4 linked regions of the Arabidopsis thaliana genome follow. The protein of the gene in region 1 interacts with the protein of each later gene in a pairwise test. Each region holds a gene or a part of one and is shown in the gene's direction. Other genes may lie near its edges.

Region 1 (8,442 bases):
AAATCATATTTTGTTAACGACTACAAAGAAATAAGCCAAGTCATCGTTTTCAACTCTTACATCTTTAGCCATTTATGTACATCTGGACCCATTTGTTTGTTCTGTTAACGACAACCAAAAGGGAAACCGACAACTGAAAAATGTCGCAATATTAGATTAGGGATGATGAGTAAGCTAAGGTACCTTTTGTCGCCTAACGTTAAGCCCACCTTGTCAGAAACAGACTCTAAAGCTTCCTTCCATTTCTTGATTTGTTCTCCACTCGAAGTCTTAGCCAACCTCCAGAAGTTGCGACCAAACTCAGCCTTTTGATATCTAACAGACTCTGCCTTCACTTTAAAGAAGATAGGAACCACTCGTAGCTTGCATTTATCGGCTCTTTTCTTGATCCTTGCAAGCTCGTCCAGGCACCAGCTTGACTCTGCGTATCTTTTGGAAAATATGGTGAGAGCCATCCTCGATTGCTTGATCCTTGCAAAGAGATGTTTGAGGTCTTTCCCTTTTTGTTCGTCTTTGTCTATGAAGAAGTTGATTCCATGTCTTTTAAAAGCGTCAACGAGGTGGCTCACAAAGCTGCAGCGTAGCTCCTCTCCCCGGAAATTGATGAACACTTGGATCTTCCTATTACTACTACTCCTTTTCATGTTGTTTAATTTCCTTTAGTTGTGAGCGTGAGCAATGAAGAGAAGTTGGTTAGACTTTGTTCCACTCTTATACAATTTTGTTTGGACAGAAGACAAGTTTTGTAATGTAATATGGAACAATGGTTACTAAGATGTTTAGCAAGAGCTTAATTTATAGTATATGATATTGGGATTTGGGAGGGTTTAGGTACATTGTTAATGTTAGGTTTATCGATATTACTGGAGGGAAGGCGTCGTTAGGAACTTTGTCATTAACTTTCTTGAGTTAACATGCGTAAATGCAGTGGCGGACCCAGAATTTGATTATTCCAAAAATTGGACAGAGGAGGAAGAAAAGTCACAATCCCAAACAGTTAATACAAGATCGTAGAAAAGCGTTTTTGGCGCACGTGCGCGGAGAGAGAAAGCAGAAGCAGACCTCACTTTTCTTTTTTTCTTGGTTTTTTCTTGTCTCTGGATCCTCATTGTTGTTCTCACCACCACCTACTAGCTACTACCCACATTTTTCCCCAATGTCGAACTTCTATCCGTTTTCTTCTTTGGTTTTAGGTCTTTCTTTTTGGTAGTTGTACTACAACATGTATACTTTTAATTTGCAGCAAACATGAAACTTCTCCTTTGTCAGCACTCAGCCTTACGGAACAACATGTACCCCTAAACAAAACTCTACATGACCTAGGGGATTTGAAACATCCCAAGAAATGGATTTTTTTTTTTTTTTTTTTTTTTGGGCTGTGATTGTTAATGAAAACCTTTTTATGTATACATTTGATAAAGTAAATACTACATATATTCTAGTAGAATAATACCATTTACCTAATATACTGAAATTTCTTGGGATGTTTCAAATCCCCTAGGTCATGTAGAATTTTGTTTAGGGTTACATGTTGTTCCGTAAGGCTGAGTGCTGACAAAGGAGAAGTTTCATGTTGGCTGCAAATTAAAAGTATACATGTGTAGAACAGCTAACAAACAGAAAGCATAGAAAGAAGGGAACCCTAGGATAAAGAATTAAAAAGGGGAACAAAGATTTATGCTGTTTCTTCTTTATTTCTCATTGGCAAAACGGCAGAATCTTCATTAAGTTGCGTTTTATTATTTTTTCCATTTCTTATAGTAGCCAACTTCCAACTACACCATTTAACCCGGCCGTTTTTTTTTGTTGCTAAGTAATAGGTAAATATCCTATTAATGAAAATTATGATTTACATGAACAATAGCTAAGATTTAGGATACAAACAAGGAAGACGATCAAGGATCTTGAAGATAGAAGTAGGCGCAAATGTGTTGTGAATTATGCAGCATCTTATTTCTTTGCTTCCAAGTTGTATATAAATCACGGCTTGAGTAACTAGCTTCCTTAGTGTATATGTGACTGCATCTATCATATACAGTATGTGTGTAAACTGCGTTTGGTGTAAAATGTAATTATAATTTATAGAAAATAAATTAAAGTAGTGGAACATGGAAATCACCGTTCAGATATTCTAACTGATTCACTATAGACGGAATTCTTGTTTTCGTCCATTGTTTTTACTTTTTAGAATTTTTAAGTAAAATAAATCATCCATTACATCACTGAGGTGACATCATCGCTCAGGGGACATCACTAACTACGTTCCCACTAAAAATATAGGCAAATGCAATCAAGTGAATGATGATGACCTTTCAAGAGTTCGTAGAGATAAATAAAATAATAAATATTTGGCATGTTGAGGATCAAATGAATTAGATGCATAAGAAAGGTACTAGGTAGACCAGGCCCGGCCCAATGTGTTTTGTTGTCTAAAGCAAAACAAAAAAAATTAAGCCCATTAAAGAATAGTTATATTGCCTCGGAAGGGCTCGAATCCATCATCTTCATTTTTTTAGTTTACACGGATTGGAAGTAGGCTACAATGTCCCTGAGGGAAGGTAGGCCCATTATTAGTGACCTGAAGCCCAATAATAATGAAAACGCAAAGAACCTTTTAAGAAGAAGATGACAGAATCTCTAGAGAATAAAAAACTAAACACAAAAATAGAAAATATCGAAAATGAGATGAGAGAGAGAGGAGGAGTCTCTCATCGTGAGTAGGGCTTTTGACTCCCTCCCTACTTTGCCTACTTCTTCTTCTTCCTCTGTGGCCACTCTACACAGTCCACACCTACTTCAAGACACCTTTCTCATCCTTGAGATCGGCGTCAGATCCTCCGCCGCTTCTCCTCTTCACTATCTCCGGTCACAACTTGTTTTTCTCTGTTTTTCTTTATCTCTACTTTATGCACAATCTGACTTTCTAAGTGGATTTACAGTGTTAAAGATGATGGAATCTGGCGCTGGTTTCGTGGCCATGGAAGAGAGGATCTCTCCTGGAAGTTTCTTCCAGTATCCTCTTTCTGGATTCCGTGCTTCTCCTAATCGATCCCCTTGTCCTCCCTCTGATCGTGAAAGGTTTCTATTTTCTCTCTTCTTTCTCAACCTTTTTGCTATTTGTGAATCTGTGTTAGCTTGATTGTTGTGGACCCGTTTCTTCTTCTGGACTTGTTGCTTTAGCACAACTTCAAGTGTGTCTCTTTGTGATTGGTGGGTATTGTTGCCTTTGATTGGATCAGTGTTTAAAAATGATTCTGTCAAGTTTGTATTTTCATGAACTGCTTACACAGATCCAAATTCTCGATCATACTCTCTCACCTCAACATGTCGCCTTTTTCACAATTAGCTCACTTATTATTGGATTCTATACAATGTACTCTTAAGGATTTTAACAAGATAGCTATATTTTATCAATGTTTTAGAAATGAACGTACTGATGTATTTTTAGAAGCTTAGTTTACATGTGACTGAGTGCTGATTCCAATGTCACCCACTCGATTCACACGCAACATCCACTGAAACTTAAGTTTTTTTTGTTCTTAACCTTGTGCAGGTACTTGACTGAATTATTGCAAGAGAGACAAAAGTTGGGTCCCTTTTTGCAAGTTATGCCAAATTGCTGCAGACTGCTTAATCATGGTGAGCTATCTTATTAAGCTATGTGATTTTGAATTTAGTATTTCCTTAGAGTGTGTGCACACGAACTTAAGAAATTTCCCACGTGAACAAAGCCTTAGTGCGCATCACCCTGGCTTTTTTCCAGTTAAAGGTTTACAGAAATTGGGTAAGGATAGTTGAGTAACAAAAATGTATCTACATGCAACTTTTTATTCTCTTTGTTATGGCCTTCTTAATATATATATAGCCAATCAAAGTCTATGTTACTTTTAGCATTTAGAAACAGTTTTTAATTGCAACTTATTGCTAAATGATCATCCTTGATGAGTTATGTTATGTGAAAATGAATTAAGTCTATGTGTTTGCAAATGATAATGATCGTTAAGCAAATGATCACCAACTAATTTATACTAGGAAGCCTATTTGTCCGTAAATATGCATATGGTGATTAGAAGCTTGTTTCCAGACTTGTTTACCTAGCTTTTAGTTGTCCATCATGCCCTTAAGGGATGTGTGAACCTTAAAAGACAAAGATGTGTTTGAAGTTTTCATCATTCTAACCTATTAGAACCCGAGCCTTTTGTTTCATTATTGGCATTAAAGATAAGAGACTGAAGATGCCCCTGATGTATAACTCTTACAGTTTCTTTTATACGTTTGCTTAACTGCCAACATTGCTGACGTCTGTGCAGAAATCAGGAGGGTCTCTAGTTTTCCTGATCTTGATAGATATGAGCATGGCAGTCCATTTAGATCGCTTGGTCAGCCGACAAATGGAAAGCTTGATTTAGAGGGATGGTCGATGATGCAAGCCGAGGTAAGCCACTGCTGATAGTTGTAGTCAATTAACTGATTCATGTTGAATTGTAATGGTGATACTAATAATTTTTATAATCAAGAGTGGGCTTTACCGATATTGATTGCTTTTGCTTTCTTCAGGAAAACTGTCACCTCCAGAGAGCTTCTCCATTTCGCGGTCCTTCCCCAGTGGGCTGGATTGGGATGCCGGGACTCCCTAACCCACCCATTGTGAAAAAAGTGATTAGACTTGATGTCCCAGTGGATAAATATCCAAGCGTATGTCTTAAATCTTTACCCAAATAGGTTATTATAATTGGATTGTTCTAGAGTTTAAATCCATTGAGCGTTGCAGTATAATTTTGTTGGGAGGATTCTTGGGCCACGTGGAAACTCCCTAAAAAGAGTTGAGCTAGCAACCCACTGCAGGGTGTTTATCAGAGGACGAGGATCTGTGAAGGATACTGTCAAGGTATGGCTCCTTGTTTATTAATTCTCTGAAGGATTCCATTTTGTCTCTGTTTTATTCTTACAGTTCAAAACTTCACTTTATGTCATGTTTTTACCTGTTAATCAGTTTTATAACCATGTTTTGAATACGCACAATTTTCTTCCGGCCTTTAGGAGCAATTTGTTTTCCTTTTGTGTATAAGCTTACGTCTTTTAGCATATCAAGCTTATTGTTGAAGTAATGATACATTTTTTACTGCATCAGCAGCTACTACTCTTGTTTACATTTGAAGATATGTAAATTTTGGCAGCCTGTATAAGAAATAAACTGTTAAAGTTTTAGGTTCTTACATCATCAGAAGTAAATAGAGAAAGTTTTGAAATTCATTTTTTTCTGACTCTTATATATTCTCTGACAATCTACCATGCGGTGTGAAAGCTTATCCATTTAGTTCTTTACTTCCCTGCAGGAGGAAAAATTAAAAGGTAAGCCAGGGTACGAGCATCTCTGCGAGCCACTACATGTACTGATCGAGGCCGAGCTTCCAGAAGACATAATAAACTCTCGATTGGAGCATGCAGTGCATTTCCTGGAATCACTCCTGAAGCCGATGGTACATTCTTATCACAAAAGTCCAAACATGTCTATTTTGTTCACATGGTTTTGATTCTTCTCTCTCTACAGGACGAGTCAATGGATCACTACAAGAGGGAACAGCTGAAGGAGTTAGCGGCTTTGAATGGTACACTAAGGGAGGAGAGTCCGAGTCCGAGCTTGAGCCCTTGTTTGAGCCCCAGCATGTCCCCTTTCAACAGCAAGCGTGCTAAGACAGAGATATGATCAAGAGAAACCACTAGTGCATGGGTCTTGTGGGCAGGATCATGAGTTTGCTAAGTTCTAACGTTTGGACTCTTGAATTAATTTATTTTGTCATTAACTTTATTCTTTATTTTTGTTGGTTAGCTGAGATGACCATTAACCAGTGGGTAATAAACTAATAATGGTGTTTATGAAATTGTAATCTCCTTCTCAATCATTGTAACCTTTATTTAAGTTTTAAACCCCAAACGTTTATTTCATTTTAAGTTTTGAAATTTCTCCATTTGTCTATCTACCATTCATTATCAGTTTGTTTTGAGATTTAAGGTTCAGATTCAAATGTCGGAAACTATTAGACAACAAAGAGATTCACCATTGACCAGTGTGTAATAAACTAATAATGGTGCTTATGAAAATGTAATCTCCTTCTCAATTATTTATTGATTATGGCTCTGATTCTGATGCCATGTAAAAGGAGATTATTTCAATTGAATTACAGAACAAAGTCATTGGAAGCTTCAGATAGTTGTTTGAGTTATTTGATTGGTGGTTTCGGAGAGATTCGTTACCTTGTTTCAATTTCTTTAACATTTCTTCAGAATTTGAATAGATACATAGATTTAAGACTTTGTTTTCGGGGAGTTTATAGCAACAAGATCCTAGTTTGGGCTATCGTTGAGAAACCTATAAGGTGCCTTAAAGATTCTAGAGCATATTGTGGTCACTGAAAGTATGCAAGGAAAAACGACATCATCCGACTGTGTGAGATAAATTAGAAGCATAACAAGCGCATAAAAAAGCACGACAAAAATTGTTGGTACATGTTGAAACAAGCCCTTCTTACATAAAACAAGAATCTGAAACATAATCATAGGCAGCTTTAAGAGTTGCAAACTTGGACAAACAAACGGATGGTGAAAGAAGCTTTATGAAATAGATATTAAACTCGGGAAATAACAGACAGGATGACCGATGGAGTCAGCCTCGAAAGCAACATCATATGATTTGGTTTCGTCATCATGTACCACCATTGTTCGTTTTCGTACACGACAATAAAACAACAACTTTTTCTTCTTCTTCTTCTTCCCATCCAAAAGTGCTAGTGGCAAGACGGCGCATACTTGAGTAGGACCAAACCAACGAGAAGTTATATCCAGATTAATGGAACACATTTTGTGCCATGTCTTGTTACCTGAATTGAATGACCATATCACTTGGTTGGGCAGCTTCATCTCGGAAACGCACAAGCGGTTGTCGAGGTTGCACATGACTATATCGAATCCATCTACATTGGCAAAGGGAGCTTTAGAGACAACTTGAAAGGTTTCGGTGTGAAGATCGAACGAAAGAATTTTGGTTTCCTCGCACTCGGTGAACCAATGAAGCGACCCATCTACGCAGACAGGTGCGGGGCAACCAACAATCCTATAAGGAGCAGCTGGTGAAACATACCTCCAAGCGTTGGTGCTAAAGTCGAAAACCTCGCATGTAGTAGCGTTTTCTAGGCCAATTTCTATAGAGTTGTATAACCAAACGGGCTTGTATGTGCCTGTGAGTTTGTCTTTACCGAATCCAAGCCTAGAGACTCTGTATCCAAGATCGTAGAAACCGTCGCCTATGGCAATAAGGAGTTGTTGTAATTGGCAGAGAGGAAGAGGGTGATACCATCTAGTGGCGGGATTGAACACAAAACCGGATTTGAATTTATCGAAGAGACAAACGAGACCGTCACAGCTATCCTGGGAAACAGAGTATTCTTTGTCCTCCTCCTCCTCCTCCTCCCAAGGAGTAGGGATCTTGACAGATGATGATGAACCCAACACCAATGTAGTAAGAGCTTCTATTTCCGAATTAATATCAGCACAACGGGAGACCATGAGAACATCTGGATTACCTGATTGCTGACGCTGTGTGAACTGTCTTCGCTGGAAGAATGGAGATTCAATAGTTGATTTCCATTGTTTCGATACAGCCTTGAATCTCAGCAGAGGATCCGCATCAAGTCTCTCTAGGATGCACTCTACGACCTCGTGGGGCAGCGATTCCATCATCAAGCAACGTTGCTTTTTCGACATTCTTGTAATTGCAGACAAGTCATTGTTGATGAAGAGATTTAAGAGGCTTATTTATAGATAAAACAGGAAAACAAAAATCTTCTATAGAAAAGACAAAACTCAACACTTTCCGTTTCTCAAAACTCAACACTTCCTTTTCATCAGATCAAGGAAAAAGGATCTTCCTCTCACGCGCGCGGCACAGATCTCCTAATCCTATTATCTACTTAACATTTTTTTTTTCTAAATTGTAAATATTTCATAGTTAATGAAAAATAGTTTAGGTTACAAACATAGAATTTGAAACATATGCATATGAATCCATGGTAAAAAGATTAAAAACATGGAAACATAAACCGCTTGATGAGTATGGAAACATAAACATAGAGGATCTTCTACTGTTGCCGGAGCATGATAAAGCAAAGTATCCGCTTGATGAGAAAGCTGAGAAGAAGAAAGGAGCCAAGAACCGTACCAACCCTTCTTGCAATTGACCGTTTTTGACGAAAATGAACTCGAACAGGTATGTAGATGAATATATATCTTCCCAGTTTCAATTTCTTTTGTATTTTTGTTGGATTTATTCGGTGGCCGTTCCTCTGTAATCCTTAGTTCTCTCTTGGTTTAGGCTAGATTGTTTGATTCATATTTTTGACATGAATGTTAATCCCTCCTTAATTATCAACATCTGTGATTTGGTAT
Region 2 (7,559 bases), on another chromosome or scaffold:
TTGATATGATGAAAATTGACACCATAGAAGCATAACAAAGCTGAATGTTTGTACCTTTTCCCTGCCACTTGATGTAAACGCATGAACATCACCAACTAATTTCAGAGCCTTCGCGGATTGAGGCATTGCATTCATTGCTTCCCTGGCGGTATACAATGCTTCTTTGGTTTTACCAAATGCAAGATAAGAATGGACTAAGCCTGAAATGACCTCAATAGCGCAAGTTAATTACACACTCCAACCTTTTCATGATTGTTAAAGGTTTATACCACCAAAACAGTACAACAGTGGAAGTGTATATCAGATCTTTTTCCCTCGTGAACCAGACCTTGATATGAACGAAGATCGGACCTCAAATTCTGGGCAGCCCTGAAGGCGATCGCTGCAGCTTCTGGTCGTTTTGCTTGTAAAAGTAGATTTCCCTGACGTCTTAACAAATTAGTGGATATATATATATATGCAAACTTACTAAAAATAAATAAACTCCTCGTTGAACTAGCTTACCTTCATTATGTAGCCGGGTATGTGCCTCTCGTCTACCCTGATACTCTGATTGCATAGTGTATGTCATGAGCTATCACACAAAGATTTTGGCACAAAAATTCAGTGTCAGAAAAAAGCTAACCTTCTCAGCATAAGATAATGCCGTCCTTGCATCTTTCCTTTCCCATAGTACAGACAAAGCAACAAATACTTCTGCTCTGGTATGATCAACGCTTAATAAATCGTGGACGAGCTTGTTTAGCCTGGAATAATCACACTTAATCTGAAGCAGCATCGCATACTCATCCATACTGGTTAGTGTGTAAGGATCAATTGACCGAACCTATAAAAGCTTTTAGATGATTATGCATGAATTAAAGAAGTTGAGAATTGAGAAAAAAATATCCATGTGGTGACTACCTTCTCAAATCTCATTATGGCCTCATCATTTTTCCCAATAATGGCTTCAACCTATACAAATGAAATAAATGTCAATCAGCGTCAGTCATGATAAAATGAAAAATTCAGGTGAAATTCTGTTTGCATCGTAGTCGATGTCATCCCTAACCTTTGCTGTCTCAGTCAACAAGTGTACATTATTTGGAAATCGTTGTAAGAGTTCAGCAAAGAGTTCCAGCGCCCCTGAGTAACAAAAAAATATTACACCATATCCAGTAAAGCAAGCATCAGATTGCAGAATTTCCCACAAATAAAATGCAAGAAATGAAATCTACAAGGTTAAAAAAAAAGAACTAAATGCCTTATTTCATCCATTGTAGGCATAGGCATCCCAAAAAGAAAAGAGAGCTACCTTTGTAAGCATGCGAAGCAACACAACACTGGGCCTCTACATAACGCTGTGAAAACAAAGAAAAATTACCGAAAAAGACAAAGAAGAAAATAGATTTTATTGCCAGGTATGCTACAACATGAAACCAATGAAACATCCATCCAAGAAAAGTTATGTGGAGTATTAGTTTCCTGGTTAAATAGTCGAGCTTCTACTAACACAAGAACATCAAAGCACTACTTTGTTAAAGGGAATAATACTATTAAGACGATTTATTCACTTTCCACACATGAACAGCTTGAAGACAGAATTCTTAGAATCATTATATATGAAGTCGTATTCGGGGGAAAATAGTTGATAAAATAAGATTCTAACTCACGTACAATAATCAGCTTGGCGGCATGATTAATGAGTGTACTTTCAAACAATTTTCAACGTTGTAAATCCTGTTAAAGAGTAAGCTTACTTGCAACCAGCGGGTAGGATCTATCTGATCGAGTGAAACCTTTGCACTTCTATTTGAAGTCTGAAATGAACAAATGACACAACAAATTACAAAGTTGTATGGATTTCACACAGAAAAGGTAATTGCAAAATAGAGAGAAAGAGGTGCAAAACACATTTGAAGAAGTGGTGAAAGAAATCTCGTAGAAAGGGACACCTGAGTAAACGATGATATGATATCCTTTGCACTAACTCCCAGTTCAGCTAAACCTATGACGGCTTCAAGTACATAAGGACACTGCCTGCAGAGATTAAAGATTATATATATGTTTACTATGTGTTGAATTGGTATTTAACGTAAAAAGTGAGATATTATAACAGTGTTTCTATGCTAGGAAATGTTGGGAAAGAAAACGAAAAACAGACCTTAAACACTCTTTATAAAAAGCAATAGCACCACGGTTGTATCCAGAATTTCGATGAAGCTTTGCCATCAGTATATTCATCTCTAAGCTCCTGGTCTTGACAGATTCCATCTGGCAAAGAAATAACAAGTGCAAAAATAGATTATAGCTAAGCAGACCATGGCTTTATCATCCCTAATACCTACATGCAGTGTTGGAAGGAATCCAATTAGTTTACTTGTTTTGTAATATGGATTTGCATTGATGGGAGCAGGTCAACGCAACAAAATTCAACTCACATTCAGGAATACTATAACAATGCATTAGTTACGGCCCAAGAATGTTTCACTGAAATTACAGTTACTTAACTCTGGTTATAAAATACAATAGCAAGACATAAAAGTCATCCTATACAAAACCAATCTATAATCTTAGAAATAGAGAAATCCCTAGACAGCTCTTTTACCGTCTCATACACACATATTTTATTTTCTATATACCAAAGTTTCTAGACCAACAAATCCAGAAGACTAAATAAATCTTGAAAACCAGACAAACAGATGACACTCATACCTCAGCAATCGCAGCTTTTGTTTCATTAAGAGCAAAGTGAGATGAAGCAATCTTGAATCTCACCTAAAAGGAAAGTTAGAAAAAGAAGATGCACATGAACTCCAATGAAATTAAACCAAACCACATCACTTTCTGGAAACTGCAACACAGTTATTTACCTCGTTCTCATTAATAGCAGAAATGCTGGAGGCATTCACAGATGATCTGGTAGATAAAGATAATGAACTCCTCGAAATACCGGAGCTTTGCTTCGGAATCCTTGTGTAATGATGCAACGCTTGCTTGTACGTATGCTGACAAAAAGAAGGAATACATATTCAGAATTTCGAGATGACTTCAAAGTAATCCACAGGAAAAGAATAAGCAATACAAATATAAAACTTATCTCTGCTCACTCCATAAATTCATATAATCAGAATCTTTACAATTTTATCATAATCCAGTCAAATTCAAGTTCCGAGAATGATTTATAGAGTTCAAATTTGAGGCAGAACTAAACTATCGAGAACTGAGTAACATTTCCTTCACAGCAAAAGAGAAACATAAAGAATGAAACTTTTGAGAACTTACAATAGCTCTCCGGTGTTCTCTCTGATGAAATAAAGCATCACCCAGTAGAATCTGATTAAAAAACACAGAAAGAATCTAACTTCAATCTAACGGACTCAGCAGCTACTAAAATAGAAAATATCGACGGAGAAAGAAGCTTAACCAAATTCTCCGCCTTGAGCTGAGGACTAGTTTCGGCACTAACAGTAGGAGAAGAAACGAGAAAGCAGCCCTGGATTTAGTTGCATATATAGAGAGAATTTCATTAGCTCTTGATGAAAACTAGGGATTTAGAAAAAAAGAGATAGACAATCAAAATGAGCTAAAAGCTAGAGAAGTTACGAGCATTTCAGCAGAATCGTAAAGCCCATGCTCTATTAAAGTCGCGATCTGCTCCTTTGGAACCTCCATTTCAGAGACAAGAGAGTTCGTCGTTAGTGGCAATGGTGAAGTTTTTTCTTCGGAGCAGCGATGAAGTAAAAGATCCTTCACGCTCGCTCTTCATTTTGAAACAAGAAATCTCGAACCGAGTCAACCCAAACCGACATTAACCGGTTATCTATCTGAAATCCATCTCGGTTCATTAAAACCCGACTTTTCCAAGAGCCCGACTTCACCGAACAATCTCTATCTCCGGTCATGCCTCCATTACCGTCCTCCACGGCGCCTTCGTCTTCGAGACATCTTCGATCGCCGGAAAGTATCGCGAAATTTGCAGGGAGAGCAATATTTCCTGCTTTACAGGGGAAATCGTGTCCGATATGCCTCGAAAATCTAACCGAGCGAAGATCCGCCGCCGTGATCACGGTGTGCAAGCACGGATACTGCCTTGCTTGTATTCGGAAGTGGAGCAGCTTCAAGAGGAATTGTCCTCTTTGTAACACTCGTTTTGATTCCTGGTTTATCGTTAGTGATTTTGCTTCTAGAAAATACCATAAGGAGCAATTACCAATTCTTCGTGATCGTGAGACTTTAACTTATCATCGGAATAATCCTTCCGATCGCCGGAGGTTATCTCTCTCTCTAAGATCCTCTCTATGAAGTTAAAAATCACTTCTTTATTATATTCACTTGGTTATTATTTCATTAGGATAATTCAAAGGTCGAGGGATGTTTTGGAAAACTCTAGCTCAAGATCAAGGCCATTGCCATGGCGGAGATCATTTGGACGACCAGGTTCAGTTCCTGATTCTGTTATCTTCCAGCGAAAGCTTCAGTGGCGAGCTAGGTTGGTTTACTATTGATTCTAACTCTATAGCTTCATTTGCAATCTCCTTTTTCGAAGTGTTAGATTAGTTCGCCGTTGTTTCTAACTAGTGTTGGCTCTAAATACAGCATATACACTAAGCAATTACGAGCTGTTCGATTACATTCAAGGCGCTTGGAACTAGTAAGTTTCATTATACAATGTGTTCTTCTCTGTTTGATGTTTGTAGTATTGGGGTTTACACTCTTACATTATTGGATATATGTTCACATTGGAAGCCTTATATATACCTGCTTCGTTGTGTCATCTTGGATTATTGTAGAGTTTGGCGGTGAATGATTACACCAAAGCAAAGATAACTGAAAGAATTGAGCCATGGATTAGAAGAGAGCTTCAGGCAGTCCTTGGAGATCCTGATCCCTCAGTTATTGTTCATTTTGCGTCAGCTCTTTTCATCAAAAGGCTTGAGAGAGAGAATAATCGACAAACCGGGCAGACCGGGATGTTGGTGGAAGATGAAGTCTCCTCTCTTCGAAAATTCTTGTCTGATAAGGTGGATATATTTTGGCATGAACTAAGGTAAGATTTTTATACGCTAGGGTTTTTTCAGAGTTTCAAGTAGTTACAGGTTTAGTATAGTAGTACAGAAAACACATAGGCAACCTAAACCTAGTGACTTGTAAGTCTGAACAGATGATAGAGCTGATATCTGTTTGGTTTAGGTTTTTTGGTCATATACTATTTCTGATGAGAAAGAAAACATTTTTCAGATGTTTTGCGGAGAGTATACTCACGATGGAGACTTATGATGCAGTGGTTGAATACAATGAGGTGGAGTAATAGCAGTAAAAAAAACAGGTAAAGAAATTAGGATATGTATTATGTGGGTTTGGTTTCACTAAGTAGGAACCTGTTTTGCTTCGATGGTTTTTTTTCTGAAGTCATTATGTTGTATTCGCTTGCAGATAACCGAGCACTATGCTCTCGTCAAATGAAGTAAATAGACAGACTTACAACGCGACTGTTGGTGTCTTGGAAGTTCAATAGTGGAAAGACTGGACCAAGTAAGAGAAACCAAGAGTTAAAGAGTAGGTAGGAGGAAGATGTTGAGATGATGCAAGTTTAGGTGTGGAGTTAGTTTTGAGATAGCTATAGGTGGATTCTCAAATAGCTGACACTTAGTCTCTCTACTTCCATAATGTACGTCTCTTCTATACCAAAAATTCTCACCCCCAAAGTTTCTTTCCAACGCTTTTCCTCACCTCATCATTTTTTCTTACGTTTCGAGTACCACCTATTTCAACAACATTAAATATTTTCTATAATTTGACTATCAATTTTTAATAAATTAAAACTATACATAGTTTTAGATAAATTACACGAAGCTTCCATAGAAGAGGAAAGTTCATTTGAATTTCTCTTCTAAACCGTACCTTAAAGATTAAATGGTGAATATACACGGGGAAATTTTTTTAATAAACAACGCGTTCTCTATTAAGGTATTGATTGATATAAGTAAGCAAGCGGGTGTAACACAAAATAAAATATTATAAAAGGCTTCTTCTATAGGTTGGTAAGCGGCAATCCAGCTGCCATTGCCTATTTGACTTCCCCCATTCGATCATGGTGAGCTCGTCTTCTCTCTTCTCCTCTTATCTCTTTCTCTACCATTTTCTTTTGCTTTAAAGCTCTCTCAATCATGATCATGAAGACCCCCATCACAGCATTCCATTCATCCTCATGAATAATTCTACATCAGGTTTCTTCTCTTTCCCTTTCTGATTCTCAACACTCTTACCACATTTCTACTTTTGTGTTGTATATCGATTTTTGTTCTACATTCTTCCAAATGTCAGGGAATCTAGTTGAAATGTGATGATTTTTGTGTTGATAACTTGATATCTGGTATGGATTGAATGATTGGTGATTATCTCTGTTAATTCATCTCTGATCGTGTTTCTGTTTGTGTTGACTTGGAATGTGGACCTGGTTTGGATAGTGAAGAGGCTGGTTTCATCTAAGGCAATGAAATGTTTCTACTTCAGCAAAGACAAAACTCAGGATGATGAAGCTAAGACTAGAAAGTTTGGTTCAGCTACGATGGCTAGAGGAGGATCAGGGTCTGAGTTTAATTCAGATACAAGTACTGCTACTTCCATTACTTCTTCCTTGCACGTCCTCTCAGAGACACACAGTAATAATCTCAAAGTATTTGTCCTCGATGACCTTAAAACCGCTACCAAGAACTTCAGCCGCTCCTTGATGATCGGTGAAGGTGGCTTTGGTGGTGTCTTTCGTGGCGTGATTCAGAACCCTCAAGATTCTCGTAAAAAGATTGATATTGCAGTTAAACAACTTAGTAGAAGAGGTCTACAGGCAAGCAAATCTTTTTCTCTCTCTTTAGTTTGCTTCTGTTTTACACAACCTCCTTCAGTACCCAACAATAAAAACAACTACGTATGCATTAACAGGGGCATAAAGAATGGGTGACAGAGGTAAATGTATTGGGAGTAGTGGAGCATCCGAATCTGGTGAAGCTGATCGGTTATTGCGCTGAGGATGATGAGAGAGGGATCCAACGGCTACTTGTTTACGAATACGTACAAAACAGAAGTGTTCAAGACCATTTATCCAATCGTTTTATAGTCACTCCTCTTCCTTGGTCCACCAGACTGAAGATTGCTCAAGACACTGCTAGAGGACTCGCTTATCTTCATCAAGGCATGGAGTTTCAGGTATCTTCTCCATCCATGATCACAAATGCCTTTAAACCTTTTTCATATGTTCTTGAAACTATACTCATCTTATATGCAGATCATCTTTAGGGATTTCAAATCCTCTAATATCCTTCTTGATGAGAACTGGAATGCAAAACTCTCGGATTTCGGACTGGCTCGAATGGGTCCTTCAGATGGAATCACTCACGTTTCCACCGCGGTACGCTACGCCTTACTTGTTATGTCTCCATTGATTGTTTGAAACAATTGAAGTCTTACCAAACTATGAATCTACAGGTTGTAGGGACCATTGGTTATGCAGCACCGGAATACATCCAAACAGGACACCTCACGGCTAAGAGCGACGTGTGGAGCTACGGAATCTTTTTATA
Region 3 (7,412 bases), on another chromosome or scaffold:
AAGCCCATCTCAGCCTTGAGAGATTTAATTGCAACTTTTCTCTTCAATTTTCATGACACTCTAGAATAATAAGTTTACTTTCAGATGAGAAATCTAGACATCTTCGAATAACGATTAACGAAAAATGATATCACAAAATCGTCAAACCATGCTACATAGTAAAAGGGACTGCTCTATAGTGTCCCGACTCCAAACAAAAAAAAAAAGTGGATAATGATATTAGTGAGAAGCGGAAGCAACTTTCTCGCAGTTTTCTGATTCAGAATCATCTTCAGAGAAACTTGGCGGTTTAGGAATGAGGCCTAATGTCTTGAACATGAGCTGGTCAGCGTCAAAATCATTGTTTGGTGTGGTTAAAAGCTTCTCTCCGGTGAAGATAGAGTTTGCACCAGCAAGGAAACAGAGAGCTTGTTCGGACATTGAGAACCGGACTCTACCAGCAGACAGTCTCACCATCGCTTTTGGCATTACAATACGTGCGGTTCCAATCATCCTGATCATCTCCCATATCTCAACTGGCTGCAAAAACACAAACGGTTCTCAAAGCCATTTCCTACTAAGTAGCTGCTATGACTTGCAATTTGTGATTTTAGATTGTGGAGATATACCTTCTGGTCTTCAAGAGGAGTGCCTTTCACTGCAAGTAGAGCATTAATGGGAACACTCTCAGGGTGAGAAGGAAGTGTTGCCAGCGTGTGTAATAAACCTATTCTGTCTTCCTCTGCCTCACCAAGCCCTATGATTCCTCCTGTTTATCGGTAAAAGAAAACACTTGAGAACATGTCGTATCTATGGATTTATCAAAATCAACGAATATTACAAAACTGTGAGTCTAATGACCAAGCTGAAGACAGGTTTCAATCCTTTAGTTCTATAGAATTGAGGCATACAAGAATACTATTTTCATATCAAAGTTACCTGAACAAACGTTGATTCCAGCATCACGAACATGGCTAAGAGTTTCAAGGCGATCGTCATAACTTCTAGTAGTGATGACGTTTGGGTAGTACTCTCTTGAAGTATCAAGATTGTGGTTATAAGCAGTGAGGCCAGCCTTCTTTAGCTCTAGTGCTTGTTGTTTCTCAATCATGCCTAAGGTGCAGCAAACTTCCATCCCCATGCCTCTGTTTTAAAGTGAGAGCCCAGAAAGTTAGTAAACACATTCAGCCAGACACCATCATCAACATCATATTCATTCTGCTCACGGATACATCAAGTACACTTTGAAATTTTCACTTTAGTTTGACATGCAAAAATGTTCATTCTAGAACCATTAATGATCGGTTCGGTGGGTTATCTTTTAAGTTAGCTTAGATTCAGAAGCAGCTGAAAAAGGGATCATATAATGTAGTATAAACAAGGAAATTCAAAGTTCAACTTAAAAAGCATAATAGTAAGGTACCTTATTTCTTTGATGTATTCAAGAATCTGGCTGAAGTTGGTTTTCCGTCCAATTGTATCTCGCCAAGCAGCACCCATGCAAAAACGTGTGCTCCCAGCTTCTTTTGCCTAACAACACATCAAATTTGTTAATTCAAATCAGAAGAGCTCATTACATCGTCAAAATGCTTCATTAAACAATTAGAGTCTTTTGGATAGAGATAGAGCTCGGATTGATAAAAACAACGTTTTGGTACATAGTAATGCATGTCCCCTTCTTCTTGATACATTCTGCTAAGGATTCTACATTCAGCAAAAATAAACATTCACAAGAAAAGTGCAAACCTTCTTAGCAGCATCAATGACAGCGTCCTTAGACATGAGTCTTTGTGCCTTAACTCCAGTGCTATATCTCGAAGACTGAGGACAATATGAACAGTCTTCACTACAGCCACCAGTCTTTATGGAGAGGAGGGTACATTGTTGTACCTCCCTGAAGTTATGAACATGTCTATGAACCTGAGCCTGAAACCCAAAGAGTCCACACACCATCGTTATTCAAGTAAAAGACAACTGATAACGAGATCAGATGAGCAACCAAATGAATAATACCTAGCTCAATAGACATTACAAAGACACTAAAATCCGGGAAATTAAGACAAATGTTTCAAAGAGAACAAACATGTTCTGGGTTAAACTAAAAATCGATACTTTCCACCAATAATTTAACAGAAACCCAAAGCTTTCTACTTCAAATTTGTGATTTAGAGTAGCTAGAACAACAAAGAGAAGAGTAAGTGAGAGAGAGAGAGAGAGAGAGAGAGAGAGAAGAAGAAGGGTAAATTACTCCATGGAAGAGGAGGTCAAGAAGAGGAGAATCATAAACAGACTTGATTTCATCTCTACTCCAATCGTTTCTGGGACCTTCTCTGATAGTCCTCTCAGCTTCAGCTGAAGCAGCAGATAATGAAGAATAGCAAGAAGCAGATTGCAGACCACCCGAGACAGAGGGTCGCAACTGAGATCGAAATACAGATCGAACAAGCATCATTTGATCTGCTAATCAGAAAATGTGGAAAAAGAAGAAGAAGAAGAAATGAGATTTGGTGTTTGGTTTGTGCTAGAGCTTTTCACTCTTCAGTGAGTGATTCACCTAACCCAAAGCAGCCACCGTTGGAGTTTCCGCCTTCGTGTGGGACCTACGAGAATATCATATATCTTTAACTGGGCTGTAATAAGCCCAATTTATATGTTGGGCTTTTTAATAGTAATCAATTCAAACGACGACGTTATTCTTTATTTCCTTAAACAGCCGGAGCCGCCGTGAGAGAGAGAGAGTCGGGGGAGAAGAAATGAGCGGCGGAGGAAACAACGTCGTGAACAAAGTGTTCTACGCGACGTCGTATCATCCGATTCAAGCCGGAAGTATCGACGGAACTGATGTTGCTCCACATGATAACGGCGTCCGTCGAGCTCTTCTCTGTTATAACGCTGGCTTATGTATGTATACTCTCTCGTTCTCTCTGCTCCTCTTTTCACTTTTATCGTTTGGTTTCTGAATTCAAATACATTGATTTGGGTTGTTTTGAAAGATGATCCTTCTGGTGATTCGAAGGCTGTTGGAGATCCTTACTGTACTCTCTTCGTGGGTCGTCTCTCTCATCACACTACGGAGGATACACTTCGAGAGGTTAATGATTGAAATTTCACTTAGTTTTTGATTTTCGTGTAGACTATGTTTTGAATATGATTATAAAAGTTTCTTCTTCGTAGGTGATGAGTAAGTATGGCAGGATTAAGAACTTGCGCTTGGTAAGACACATTGGTAAGATTTTGCAATTGCTCTACTTATGACATCAACACTTTGCTTTATCTTTAGGAAATTTATCATCTTTCTATTTCTGATGGTTTGTTACTTTCTACCAAGATATTTGTCTAAGCAGAACTGTGATTACATATTTCCTCTAAGTTCCACATTGTGTAGTATTGAGTCTCCTCTTCTTGTTACCTTTTTTTAGTGACGGGAGCTTCACGAGGATATGGTTTTGTGGAGTATGAGACTGAAAAGGAGATGCTTCGTGCTTATGAGGTGCTGTGATACTAAATTGCATTTTCTTTTTACCTCTTGTTTTTGTTGTTGAAAGCTGTCTGAACCACTTACTAAGGCACCGCAATGTGATTGTTTCATTAACATCTCCGTGTAATTACTGGAAACTAGTGGAGTTTGTTTATCAGAGTGAGAATTTTTTTGGTGTTTCTTTAGCAGGATGCTCATCATTCACTAATAGATGGGCGAGAGATTATTGTTGATTATAATAGACAGCAATTGATGCCTGGATGGATACCAAGAAGACTAGGTTTGCCATTCTTTACCTTTATTTTTGTCTGTAATGAAATGTCATAGGCGTTATATTTTCATCCCTTACAGATGAAATCTATTTCTCTCTTAACAGGAGGTGGCCTTGGTGGTAGGAAAGAATCCGGACAACTTCGCTTTGGAGGACGAGATAGACCATTCCGTGCTCCCTTGTATGGTTTTGCTTTACTCTTCCTTTAGCATGTCCAGAGATAACACCAGCTAAACATAGTGGTCATGAAATGGGCATTCTTTCTATTTGTTAATATCAGACGACCAATCCCTCATGAAGATTTGAAAAAGCTCGGTATTCAGCTTCCGCCTGAGGGAAGATATATGTCGCGCACACAGGTCTACCATGTCTTGAACTTCACCACCACTCTATAGTCATTTGAACTTTACCCCTGTTCTGTCTCTGGTGCTATCTTATTGGGTCATTTGTTAATGTTCTTCTGCTAGAAATAATATATTAAATGGGTTGTTCAATGTGTCTAGTGGAAAGCTGATAGTTTGTAAACTAAAATCTTGGTACCACAACTTACTTGTTGGATGCAGATCCCATCACCTCCAAGGAGAAAAGGAAGTGTGTCGGATAGAGAGGAAGAATATTATCGGGAAAAGAGTTCTGTAGAACGGGAAGAAGAGTTTAAAGAGCGAAGCAGCCTTAGGTCATATCACAGTCACAGGTCGAGCGCACACACACACAGTTCTCATAGAAGACGCAGCAAAGACAGAGAGGAGTGTTCCAGGGAAGAGTCCCGTTCTGATAGAAAAGAGAGAGCACGAGGTATGGAAGATCGATATGGTGACAACAAGGGTGAAGTTTCTGGCAGCAAAAGATCAAAACGTTCTGAAGAAGACCGATCTCGCAAACGTCATAAACACTTGCCTTCCCATCATCATAGGAGGTCCTATAGTCAAGATCATCATTCTTCCGACTAAGTAATCATATTGTAAAAAAAATAACAATAATATTTGGTGTTACAGATTTTTTTTTAATAATATTTGGTGTTAGAGACTTTTAAGAGTGCCTTTTGAACCAAAGAAAAAAAAAGTGTAGTGTATGTTAATCAAATATAGCAAAACAGAAATTGTCTTTTTTTTTTAGTTACAAACAAGATATTTGTTTTGCAATTAACATGAGTGAATTGTCTTTATATCTTAAATTATGGCCGTATAGATTTGATTGTTAAGATATAAAAAAATTTGGGATGATGCAATTTGTAATTTATCTAAATGGATAAAATAGTTCATCAAATATTATTATTTTTATGAACTATGACATTACAGTTGGATTTGTTTCTGTAGTTTATCTTATATTTCTTTTTTTAGAACTAATGAACTATTATTATCTTATATTTTGTTTTGTATTGAATTTGTTCGAATATAAAAACTCACATTTGATGTTGAAATAGAGATTTAGTTTGTCTGTGTAGATACTAGATAGTTGTTGTATCAACAGACAGAATTGAAACTTGGTTTCAGATTCTTGTTTTGTTTATTCAAACTCACTTTGATTTGATTGTATTTGTACCTCTCATGAATTGTCTATTAGGAGGATAGAGAGTCGCCTCAGATTGACTAGAGACAATGTCATTCTCGTACTCGTTGCATGCAAGTGGAATAAAAGTCAAATTATCCGAAACAGGGATATCCCATCTTCCTAGCTGATCAGAAAATATGGTGTATCTCTTAATTTCCGGCCTCAATTTTTTGTTCTTGCTGCAGGTATTTGTGATCACAAGAAAGAGATTGCAGGACATATTCTTTTCGCATATATCCTCTGCAAATTCTTTATGAGGAGGGGCAACGCCTGATGCAGGACATTTACATGTCAGGATTTGACAGATAGAATCTTTGAGTCATATGAGTGCATTCTCAGCTGCAAAAAACGCCATGTTGACTATTACAGTTACAAGGTCTTCTGGACGGATAATTAGTGAACAGATCACAAAACGGACTCCAGCCTTGTACCACTTTCTACAGCGTTGATGGTCGATATCACCGATGTTAGGGCTTATTCATGCAATGATGCCCCACATTCATTATCATTATTCATGTAATTATAATTAAATTTTGTAATATATCTATTAAATTAACACACACCAAAATCATATTCATAGGATTGGGTTCATGCCTAGTCCAAATGGGTGGAGGAGAAAAGCATGATTCATGCACTCGTACCCATTTTTTCTTTTAAAACTATTATAAATGGTATGTTTATTTTTTTGTACTAAAAAAAGGATGCTTTTAAAAATCCTTTAAAAATTCTAAACTTAGAGGATGTTATTGGTTTATGATTTTAAAAGAGTTTTTGTGACTTAAAAGTGTCATGTAAAATATGTTGTTATTCAATCATAATTTTTAAAAGTTTGTAAAAGTTTTGTGTTATTCAATTAAAACAAAAAAATCTCTCAAAATTCAATTATCACAGATTAAACATCATTCATTATTCTCAGAATTCATATTGTTTTTAAAAATTTCATAACAAAAAAACTACACATTTTACGAACTTTATATTTGTATATCTACGTATATTTTTTTGTTAGCCAATTTTCATAGACCAACATTCTTTATCAAATTGCCACATAATTAGGCACAGGCTTCCGTCTACGAAGGGCTTTGATGTTCTTACGAAATTATTCAAATCACATTCATTTTATACAGCCTTTTTAAACATATTTATTTTAGTATTTACATCAAAACATATTGAACATTCCCGTCTACTTCATCCTTTTAAAATCACATTCATGTTATACAGCCTTCTTTATCTAAACGACGGAGGAAAACAAAAAAACGAAGATGCGCTTTTGGTTGCATCTGTAGGACTGGTTGGTTCGAACACTTGTTACCAAAGAACAAAGCGTCTCTCTTGGTCAGGCAAGTTTTAGCTCTCAAATAACCACCAACGCAAAATGATCGCAGTCAAGACTCTTTGACTCTTATCTTTTGTATTAAAGATAAATGAACATGTGATAAGAATAATAACAGATTAGATGTTGCATGTAATACTACTAGACTAGATCTACAGAAGGATCAAAGAAAGTAGTACCAAAGTAGACATCAATAATGAAATTGCAAGCAAAACAGAATAAATGTTGTCTCCTCGATTGCAAGCAAAACAGAATAATTATTGCAAATTCTCCCCTCGATCATCTTGTGTTAGATATCTGTGCCGCTGAAGACACTTCTCTCGAAAGGATTCGATAAAAATCACAGATACACATCTCCCAAACTAACAACACAGCACAACCAAGCAATGCAAAAGCTTTTCAATGATAGAATCCAGCTCCCATATATCAGCTTCTTTAAAGATATCACCGGTAACAAGTTTGTTACAGTTGGACATTCTTTTCTAGAATTTCCAGGAAAACCAACATCCTAGTATCACACAAAAGAAAACTCAAGTTCATATATACCATGAAAAAGGTAGATCTGCTGTTTCTTATAAAACCAACATACACCCGTGTCTGAATTAATACCATCTCAAAAACCCAACTACTCTAAAACCATCATTATCGCATCAAATTCACTACAAGAAAAAACAAAACAAAACCAAAGAATCCAGCTCCCATATATATCTAAATATGCTATAAAACATCAATTGTAACAGTTTTGTTACAGTTGTATCAAATGAGTGAGTCCATTGTTTTCCAATATTTCCAGGCATATACAA
Region 4 (7,309 bases), on another chromosome or scaffold:
ACCGTCAGTTGCGCATATGAAAAGCAAATAATGGGCACATGATTAGATATAATATAGTTACCGGTTGAAGAAGACGCCAAATCTTTGAAAATAAGGTGATTAAACCATCATCACCCCAGTTCAAATGAACCCATTTTGTCACACTCAAACTGCATCGAAAAGAACATGTCAGCATAAGAAATCCAAGACAGAGGAAGTTTTGATTGGAACTAAAAATGTGGCCCTCCTTCTAGAAAGGCTTAGTTACATAAGCTAACATAACTAGAAACCTCCTGTAAGGCTTTTCTCAACTACAGATAAAATTTCATATGCACTTTTAGGTATGAGCATTACCAAAAGAAATGGTGACTGTTCATTTGTTTTTATTCCTCCCAAATGGCAGAAACCAAAAGTACAAGTGACAAAAGGAAAGGGGTTTACCATAGAATTGTATCATAACGATTGTCGTCAAGATTTCGGGTTTGAACAAAATTCTCTTTCTGAAACGACACAATCTGAGACAAGTCTTTAGTTTCTGCACTATCTGCCTTTGCCTCGCCATTGGAGAGAGAAACAGATGGCTCCTTCGATCCATGTACTCCATCGGCACCCTCAGAACTAGATTTCTTTTCACTAGGCTTAGTAGAATTCTGCATTCTGACAAACTTCCTAAGATGCCAGTGAGCATCCTCAATGCGACCTTCAATCAAAGAAAACATAGTTCATTTAGTGCAGACTTGAATGATAATGTAGTTAAGAGTATAATTCAGTTCCTACACAAAGCAAAACTTGGAAGATATTATGACAACCAATTATAGTCTTACTTGTATCAATGTCAACTCCAAGAATGCTCCGGCAACCGAACTTTTTTGCTGAAGAAGAGCAAAACAATATCAGCTAACGACTATATAAAATTATGGATGCTGCCAGAGAGATTTCAGACACAATGGAAGTTCAATCACACTTTACTATAGCATTCTCATAAGGACAGGTATAGCTACAACAACATATCTATTACTATAATGGATGGACATAGATAGGAACAAATTATGATATTGATAAGAAGAAGATACCAATATGAATAGTCATGATGCCGCTGTTGCAGCCAATGTCAAGACAGTCTTTGCCTTCAAACCATTCCTTCTTCAACACTTTAAGCCGAGGATCCTCATCCGTGTCATTGCTTATCTAACACATTATGTTGCCAAACGAATCCAAAATCAGATACTAAACCAAAAGATGAGCAGACTATGAAGGAATTTGAAAATATACTACGAAACTCACTCGGTAGCCATAGTAGTTTCTGTAATTTCCGAAGGGATAAACTTCTTGATTCTTCTTCTTCTTGCTTTGATTACAATTTCCTTGTTGTCCTTGTTGTTGCTTCTGCTTCTGCTGTGTTGGGACTTTCTCTTCATTAGCAACTACTTTCTCAACACTCTTCTCATTCTCATTACTTCTGTTTCTCTTCTTCTTATTCTTCTTCTGATCGTTGTCCCGACCCATTTTTTTCTCACACGCGTTGATGAACAAAGCTCGCGAAGTTAGGGTTTCTTCTATGTTATCGCTATCAGCTAGATTCTTAGAATCGAAACAAAACGATTAAGTCTAAACAGAGAGATTCGACGAAGCTAGCTCCTAGAGAGGTTTTTCTTCGAGGTTAAGCGGCGCAGAGCGAGGAGGAAGAAGAAGAAGAAGAACCGAACCGCCTTTGAAAGTCCAAAAGGGTTTAACGAGTCTCATATTTAAGTAATCCTCTCTTTTTTAGTTAATACATTCTTTAAACCTATTTATGTAAATATACGAAAGTTTCCTTTTCTTTCACCGACGTGGCCAAATTAATCTTAGAGAATTAACTTTTGTTTTTTTTTGGTCAATATGCATCAAATCTAGAACAATGGAAGCTTGCGAGTTATTGTGAAATCGTGACTCGTGTTTGAAGATAATAAAAACAAAGGAACTCATCAAAATGTTGCACTTGTCATCAAATATTGTACAGAAAATCTAGAATATAATTCCCCTCTCTCTTCTGCCATACAATTCTTCAACTCATCTCTGTTAATCGAAACAACTGCAGCGTCCGATGAACCGTGTTGATGATGATAAGCTTTCCCGAAAACGGAGAAGCAGCTGCTACTTTTTTAACACCAATTTGCCTAATCAGTACGGTCTGTAGCGCATAGGCCGTCTGAACCTGGGAACTCTCCTGCACAAACCATCAACCATTGTCAATTTTATGAACAACCATGATGAATCAAACAAATGGACTTTAAAAGAGAGGATAGGCAGGTAAGGTTCTAGAACACACCCATAAGCATATGGAGGATAAAATGGAACTCCTGGCATGAATCCCCTCATCGGTCTAAAGGGACGCCCTCTTCCTCGAAATTGCCTCATTCCAGGTACATTAGTCCTCTTTGCAGATACCTGAAAATAGATTAAACAAAGTTTAGTAATGACAAATCGTAATATGGAAAATAATTAACTACATCGTATTGAACGAGTTTGCACCTTTATCTGACGACCATGTAGTTCTGACTCGTTCAAAATAAGCGAATTCTGAACAGCTTCTACTTCCACAAATTCGACATACGCAAAACCTTTAGGTTGACCAAACTTATCTGTCAGAATTGTAACCCTATTCACTGTCCCACATGATTGAAAATGCTGCTGGACTTCCTCTGGAGTACATGCATAGTCCACCTAATATACACAAAAAAACAAAGACACAGGATATCTAAAGAATCAGCTTCACAGATGGGAGATATGAAGGCTTTCTGAAATATGAAGGAAAGTTAGTTTAGCAATTACTAGAGATAAAGAAATAAACAACAAGCAGCCTCCAAATTTCATTGATACCAAAGCAATAAAACACACAAACTTTCTTTAAAAAAGATACAAACATATATGAGAAACATGTGAAAATTAATGGTGGAACAAGCCTCACATTGCCAACATATATTGAACGCGAATCCACTTCTTCCTTCTCAGCCGCACTAACACCACCTGAAGGGTCTTCATTGATATGCAACAACATAAAAGGTATTGACCCAATTAGCTAACTGACAAGACTCCACAATACTATTAATGATTTCCTTCTCATACTCAAACTCCAGTAAATTTCTAGACAGATTCATTGATTCACTAAAAGATTCCAATATGTAAACCCAAAGCAATATCATAATCAACAAGACAAGCTTTAAACCTAATCTATCAATTTAAAGGTTAATGTGAAGCTGCGCACAAAGATTCAAGATTTTACGTATCAGTTAATAAGTACAAACCTTGACTAGCACCCATATCTTTCTCAGCCTTGGCTTGCATTTCACGCAAAGCTCCAGCTTCTTCCTCAATCTCCTTAATTCGTTTCTTCATATCCTCCAAGTCCTATCAAACAATCAAAGCAAATAACAGACTAAATACAGTAAAAAATAAGAAGAGTCTCAATTGGATAAAAGTAAATTATAGATCGAAGAATCACAATACCCTAGAGCTAGAGCCAGGTTCAAGCTCCTCATCTCCGGCGGCGGCACCTTCTTCTCCGCCGTGTTCTTCGTACTCTTCCGTATCCATCTCACCTTCTTCCTCTTCTGGGATCTCTCCACCGTACACCTCATGCTCTTGCTCATCGTGCACCGGCATCTTTCTCTCTCTATATCTCTCACTCGGCGACTGTCGTTAAAGCGAGAAACAGAAGTCTCGGAATTTTAGGGCTTGAAATCGGGAAAGAAGGGAAGGTTTGTTTGTAATTAAAGATACCCAAAAAGGATACTTTCGGAATTATGAAATCTTAAGTAGATTCACCAAAAGTGGACACAAAAGTACAATCAAACCCAATGGGCTTCTCAGATTAAAACGTGACGTGTAAAGTCGGTCCCACGAAAGTTTATTGTGGTTCCCATTAGTCATTAGTGATTACGTGGCACCTCACCCATTTAACTCAGTCCAGTGGTCTGAAAATCGTTTCGCTCTCTAAAAACCAAAACTCTTATCTTCGGTACAGAGCAAATCACAGCTCCCGATGGCCGCCACGTCATCATCACCGCCGTGTAACATCTCCGCGTCCTCCCTCCTCCTCCGTCAACCTTCTCGCTCAATCCTTAAAGTGTTCGGTTTATTACCACCTGTAAGTAGGAATAACCGTAAACTCGGCCGGTTAACGGTGACCCGGTCTAATCTGGCGCAGGATTTTCTTGGTGACTTCGGAGCTCGTGACCCTTACCCGGAGGAGATAGCGAGTCAATTCGGAGATAAAGTGTTGGGATGCCAAAGCACTGAGCACAAGATTTTGATACCAAACGCATCTGTTTTGTCTCTCTCCCAGCTTCAGTGTTCCCCTGTTTCGTCTTCACAGCCTCCTTTGTCCGGCGATGATGCCAGAACTCTCCTCCACAAGGTACTTATACTATTTCTCTCTTAGTATAAAAATGTTCGAGTTTTGATTTTACAAGTTTGTTGGTTGATCAAAATATTGTGAAAATGTTATTGATTCTGCGTTTAACAGATTTCTAATCTATAAAGATAGAATTGTGACCCAAAAATATAGAAAAGCCAATGAAAATTTTAGTATCATGAGGGACATATTAGGAACAATGGTTACGAGATTAAAAAAAAATGAAATGATTAGTGTTGATAAGGCTCATGTTGGTGTTTTGGTTCACGGTTACCACTCTAATGATGTGGTACATCAATCTCAATGATTATTATGTAAACGTTTTAGGTTTTGGGATGGAGTATAGTGGATAATGAAGCGGGTGGTCTGAAAATAAGGTGTATGTGGAAAGTGAGGGATTTTGGGTGCGGTGTTGAACTCATAAACAGGATCCATAAGGTTGCTGAAGCTTCTGGTCATTACCCTTCTCTTCACTTGGAAAGTCCTACCCAAGTTCGAGCTGAACTATTTACCTCTTCTATCGGTATGTCAAATATTTGATGTTCGAGTTTGAGTTTTAATATATGGTTTCTTAAGACGGTTTGTTGGATGAATAATGCAGGAGGGTTGAGCATGAATGATTTCATAATGGCGGCTAAAATAGATGATATCAAGACTTCTGATCTTTCCCCTAGGAAAAGAGCTTGGGCGTGATCTTCTTTTCATTATTTTGGAACATTTTTGTTTGATAGTATGTAATGTATGTGATGTATTCTAAATTGTGTGTGATCGGTCTACATGTCGAGTTATATAGAAAGCATTGTCATAACCGCATAAGAGATATCACGCAACATGTCTTTGAGATTCATTCATCAATCAAAAGAAGAAAGAACATCAATCATATGGAGCACAATATAAGAAATGAGACATTATTATTAGATTAAGACATTATTATTATCATTTCTTCTTCTAGAACATTCTGGGACTAACAAAAAATTCGAAAAAACACAACTACATTTTTGCATTCTAATAGGCGGTGGTGGTTGGAGGACTAGCCATTTTGGAGCATTGGTGTTTCATCATAGGAGGGAAAAACGGGTTGGATGGAAGATTTGGTAAGCAGTTAGCTTCAGCGTCAAGGAAAGCTTTACAACAAGCAGGACCAACGCCTTCAAATTTGCCGGACATTACGGCTTGTTGAATCTCTTCAAAGCATCCCGGCAAATCCATCACTGTTGACCAACATTTGCTCAAGTCGGGACTTCCTGCCATACCGGGACTTGGTTTGAACGGATTTGGAAACGGGAACATGATTGGGGGAAACTGCGGTAGCTGAGCATTAACGGAGGCTGCGATGCATACAACTACTAGGAGAGAAACAACACTCTTGATCGACATGATGAATATTTGGGGGACTATGCAACAAGAGAAATAGATGACTTGAGTTTTGTTTGATGAGATAAAGTTATTGGCTATGAGATCCAATTTATACTGTAATTAGTTTGGCGAAACGTATTTTTAAAAGTTGCTTTCAAAATCAAATTTGTCGTTTTAATTTTGGAAGAAAATCAAAAATAGTCAAAACGTTTGATGCACATTGAATTTGATGCTGTCATATTTCTCATATGTAAAGAAATAAATCTTTCCTAACAATATGATAGGAAATAATACAAAGATGACAGAAGGGAAGCAGTAACAAATTTTAAGTCTCTTTCGTCTTTATTCATCTTGATATATATCATCTCCTAATTTTTTTTTTGAGATTTTATTTACATTCATAGCAAGAAAAAGAAAAAAATCTTTTCAATTTAGGAATTGTTTTTCTTCCAACTTTTTGGAATCCTCTATATAGTAAAAGATGTGGCAAGCCCATAATTGTTCTCATCATTTTTATTTTTCATTTATTGAATATAATATACTCATTGTCAAACACTATTAATTCCACTATCCTTATCCTTATCCTTATTATTTTTTAAACCAAACATATTTTAATATTAAATACACCATCCAAAAATAATATTTTCGGATTTCTAAATATTTAGCTTATAGAAAGATTTCTTATTTATCAAATAAATTAATTTAATCAAATTTAAATTTACTATTTCCCAAATTACTAAAAACTTAACTTTTAAAATTAAAACATTAAATTATATAGCCCATATTTTTATCCTATAAATTTCATGCAGTATACTATATAGTGTCTATCTATTCAACACAATCATAGTTTTTTCCTATAATTTGATTTAAAAAAAATCATTCTCCTCTATACATAAGAGAGTCTTTAGTGTTTAGGATATAATCCCACAATTTTTCTCAAGTATTTTTTTCTTTAATTCTACTATATATCATTATTACCAAACATTTTTAATTGCAAATACTATTTATCTTATTTTCTTAAAACTAATTTTTAAACACTCATAAAAGATTTTTAATATATAAATTTACCATTTTAATAAAAGTAAATAGTATAAAATTTACGGCAATAATTAGATAAAATTTGTTACCATTTAAATTTGAAGATATGTTTGACCCTATATGAATCTCACATATGTTCTCAAACATTTGGATTTTAGAATAAACTAGAAATGGTTTCATACGTTAAACAACTTTGTATTGGTTCTAGTTTCACTTATTTCCGTTGTCTCATCATATGCAATTGCAAGATTCAATACAAAGGTTACAGAAAGTGAAATCAACGTCATATGAACAAACAAAGATGTCAATGCATCATTTTGCTTTGAGTTCTTGAAATCATCCTCTCAAATTGCAACACTAGATGTCTGGTCTAGCCAAATTGAAATCATCATTTTGTTTTATATGGATTTTTGTTTAAAAACGAAATTAAAAATCGTAAAATTAAACCAAATAATTTATATTTTGCTTTCGATTTATGAATGAAATCAAACAACAGAAAATAGCAAGAAACAATTTTTTATTTTGATTTTCGATTTGACAAAA

What was found.
Region 2: the proteins of AT1G09660 (region 1) and AT2G39100 interact in a two-hybrid assay, tested with the Arabidopsis thaliana proteins (one large-scale study listed by BioGRID).
Region 3: the proteins of AT1G09660 (region 1) and AT2G43370 interact in a two-hybrid assay, tested with the Arabidopsis thaliana proteins (one large-scale study listed by BioGRID).
Region 4: the proteins of AT1G09660 (region 1) and AT5G51110 interact in a two-hybrid assay, tested with the Arabidopsis thaliana proteins (one large-scale study listed by BioGRID).

What each region holds. Positions count from the first base shown.
Region 1 is NC_003070.9:3,125,297-3,133,738, reverse strand, and holds AT1G09660 (RNA-binding KH domain-containing protein), read left to right. Parts: upstream 1-2,644; 5' UTR 2,645-2,865; exon of another isoform or gene 2,866-2,939; 5' UTR 2,940-2,947; coding exon 2,948-3,078; intron 3,079-3,553; coding exon 3,554-3,639; intron 3,640-4,310; coding exon 4,311-4,435; intron 4,436-4,557; coding exon 4,558-4,695; intron 4,696-4,771; coding exon 4,772-4,888; intron 4,889-5,336; coding exon 5,337-5,480; coding exon of another isoform or gene 5,481-5,534; exon of another isoform or gene 5,535-5,551; coding exon 5,552-5,707; 3' UTR 5,708-5,977; downstream 5,978-8,442. Other genes in the region: AT1G09665 (Toll-Interleukin-Resistance (TIR) domain family protein), read right to left, coding at 65-101, 184-644; AT1G09650 (F-box and associated interaction domains-containing protein), read right to left, coding at 6,613-7,761.
Region 2 is NC_003071.7:16,313,580-16,321,138, forward strand, and holds AT2G39100 (RING/U-box superfamily protein), read left to right. Parts: upstream 1-3,776; 5' UTR 3,777-3,882; coding exon 3,883-4,253; intron 4,254-4,333; coding exon 4,334-4,471; intron 4,472-4,578; coding exon 4,579-4,633; intron 4,634-4,772; coding exon 4,773-5,029; intron 5,030-5,220; coding exon 5,221-5,290; 3' UTR 5,291-5,308; intron 5,309-5,415; 3' UTR 5,416-5,808; downstream 5,809-7,559. Other genes in the region: APC7 (tetratricopeptide repeat (TPR)-containing protein), read right to left, coding at 55-200, 329-422, 505-549, 626-826, 904-954, 1,052-1,125, 1,295-1,340, 1,740-1,799 and 7 more; AT2G39110 (Protein kinase superfamily protein), read left to right, coding at 6,191-6,209, 6,450-6,826, 6,922-7,185, 7,265-7,387, 7,465-7,559.
Region 3 is NC_003071.7:18,010,699-18,018,110, forward strand, and holds AT2G43370 (RNA-binding (RRM/RBD/RNP motifs) family protein), read left to right. Parts: upstream 1-2,569; 5' UTR 2,570-2,732; coding exon 2,733-2,880; intron 2,881-2,972; coding exon 2,973-3,070; intron 3,071-3,153; coding exon 3,154-3,205; intron 3,206-3,398; coding exon 3,399-3,469; intron 3,470-3,646; coding exon 3,647-3,737; intron 3,738-3,833; coding exon 3,834-3,909; intron 3,910-4,008; coding exon 4,009-4,087; intron 4,088-4,291; coding exon 4,292-4,678; 3' UTR 4,679-4,832; downstream 4,833-7,412. Other genes in the region: BIO2 (Radical SAM superfamily protein), read right to left, coding at 220-519, 609-748, 919-1,124, 1,403-1,509, 1,726-1,905, 2,228-2,431.
Region 4 is NC_003076.8:20,776,072-20,783,380, reverse strand, and holds AT5G51110 (Transcriptional coactivator/pterin dehydratase), read left to right. Parts: upstream 1-3,892; 5' UTR 3,893-4,000; coding exon 4,001-4,375; intron 4,376-4,699; coding exon 4,700-4,895; intron 4,896-4,973; coding exon 4,974-5,065; 3' UTR 5,066-5,377; coding exon of another isoform or gene 5,378-5,749; 3' UTR 5,750-5,880; downstream 5,881-7,309. Other genes in the region: AT5G51130 (S-adenosyl-L-methionine-dependent methyltransferases superfamily protein), read right to left, coding at 62-149, 421-679, 804-851, 1,053-1,167, 1,264-1,485; PABN1 (polyadenylate-binding protein 1), read right to left, coding at 2,140-2,185, 2,288-2,406, 2,491-2,682, 2,927-2,985, 3,062-3,184, 3,264-3,366, 3,466-3,621; AT5G51105 (ECA1 gametogenesis family protein (DUF1278)), read right to left, coding at 5,378-5,749. UniProt on the Arabidopsis thaliana protein: Involved in tetrahydrobiopterin biosynthesis. Interacts with and acts downstream of the E3 ubiquitin-protein ligase SDIR1 in abscisic acid (ABA) and salt stress signaling.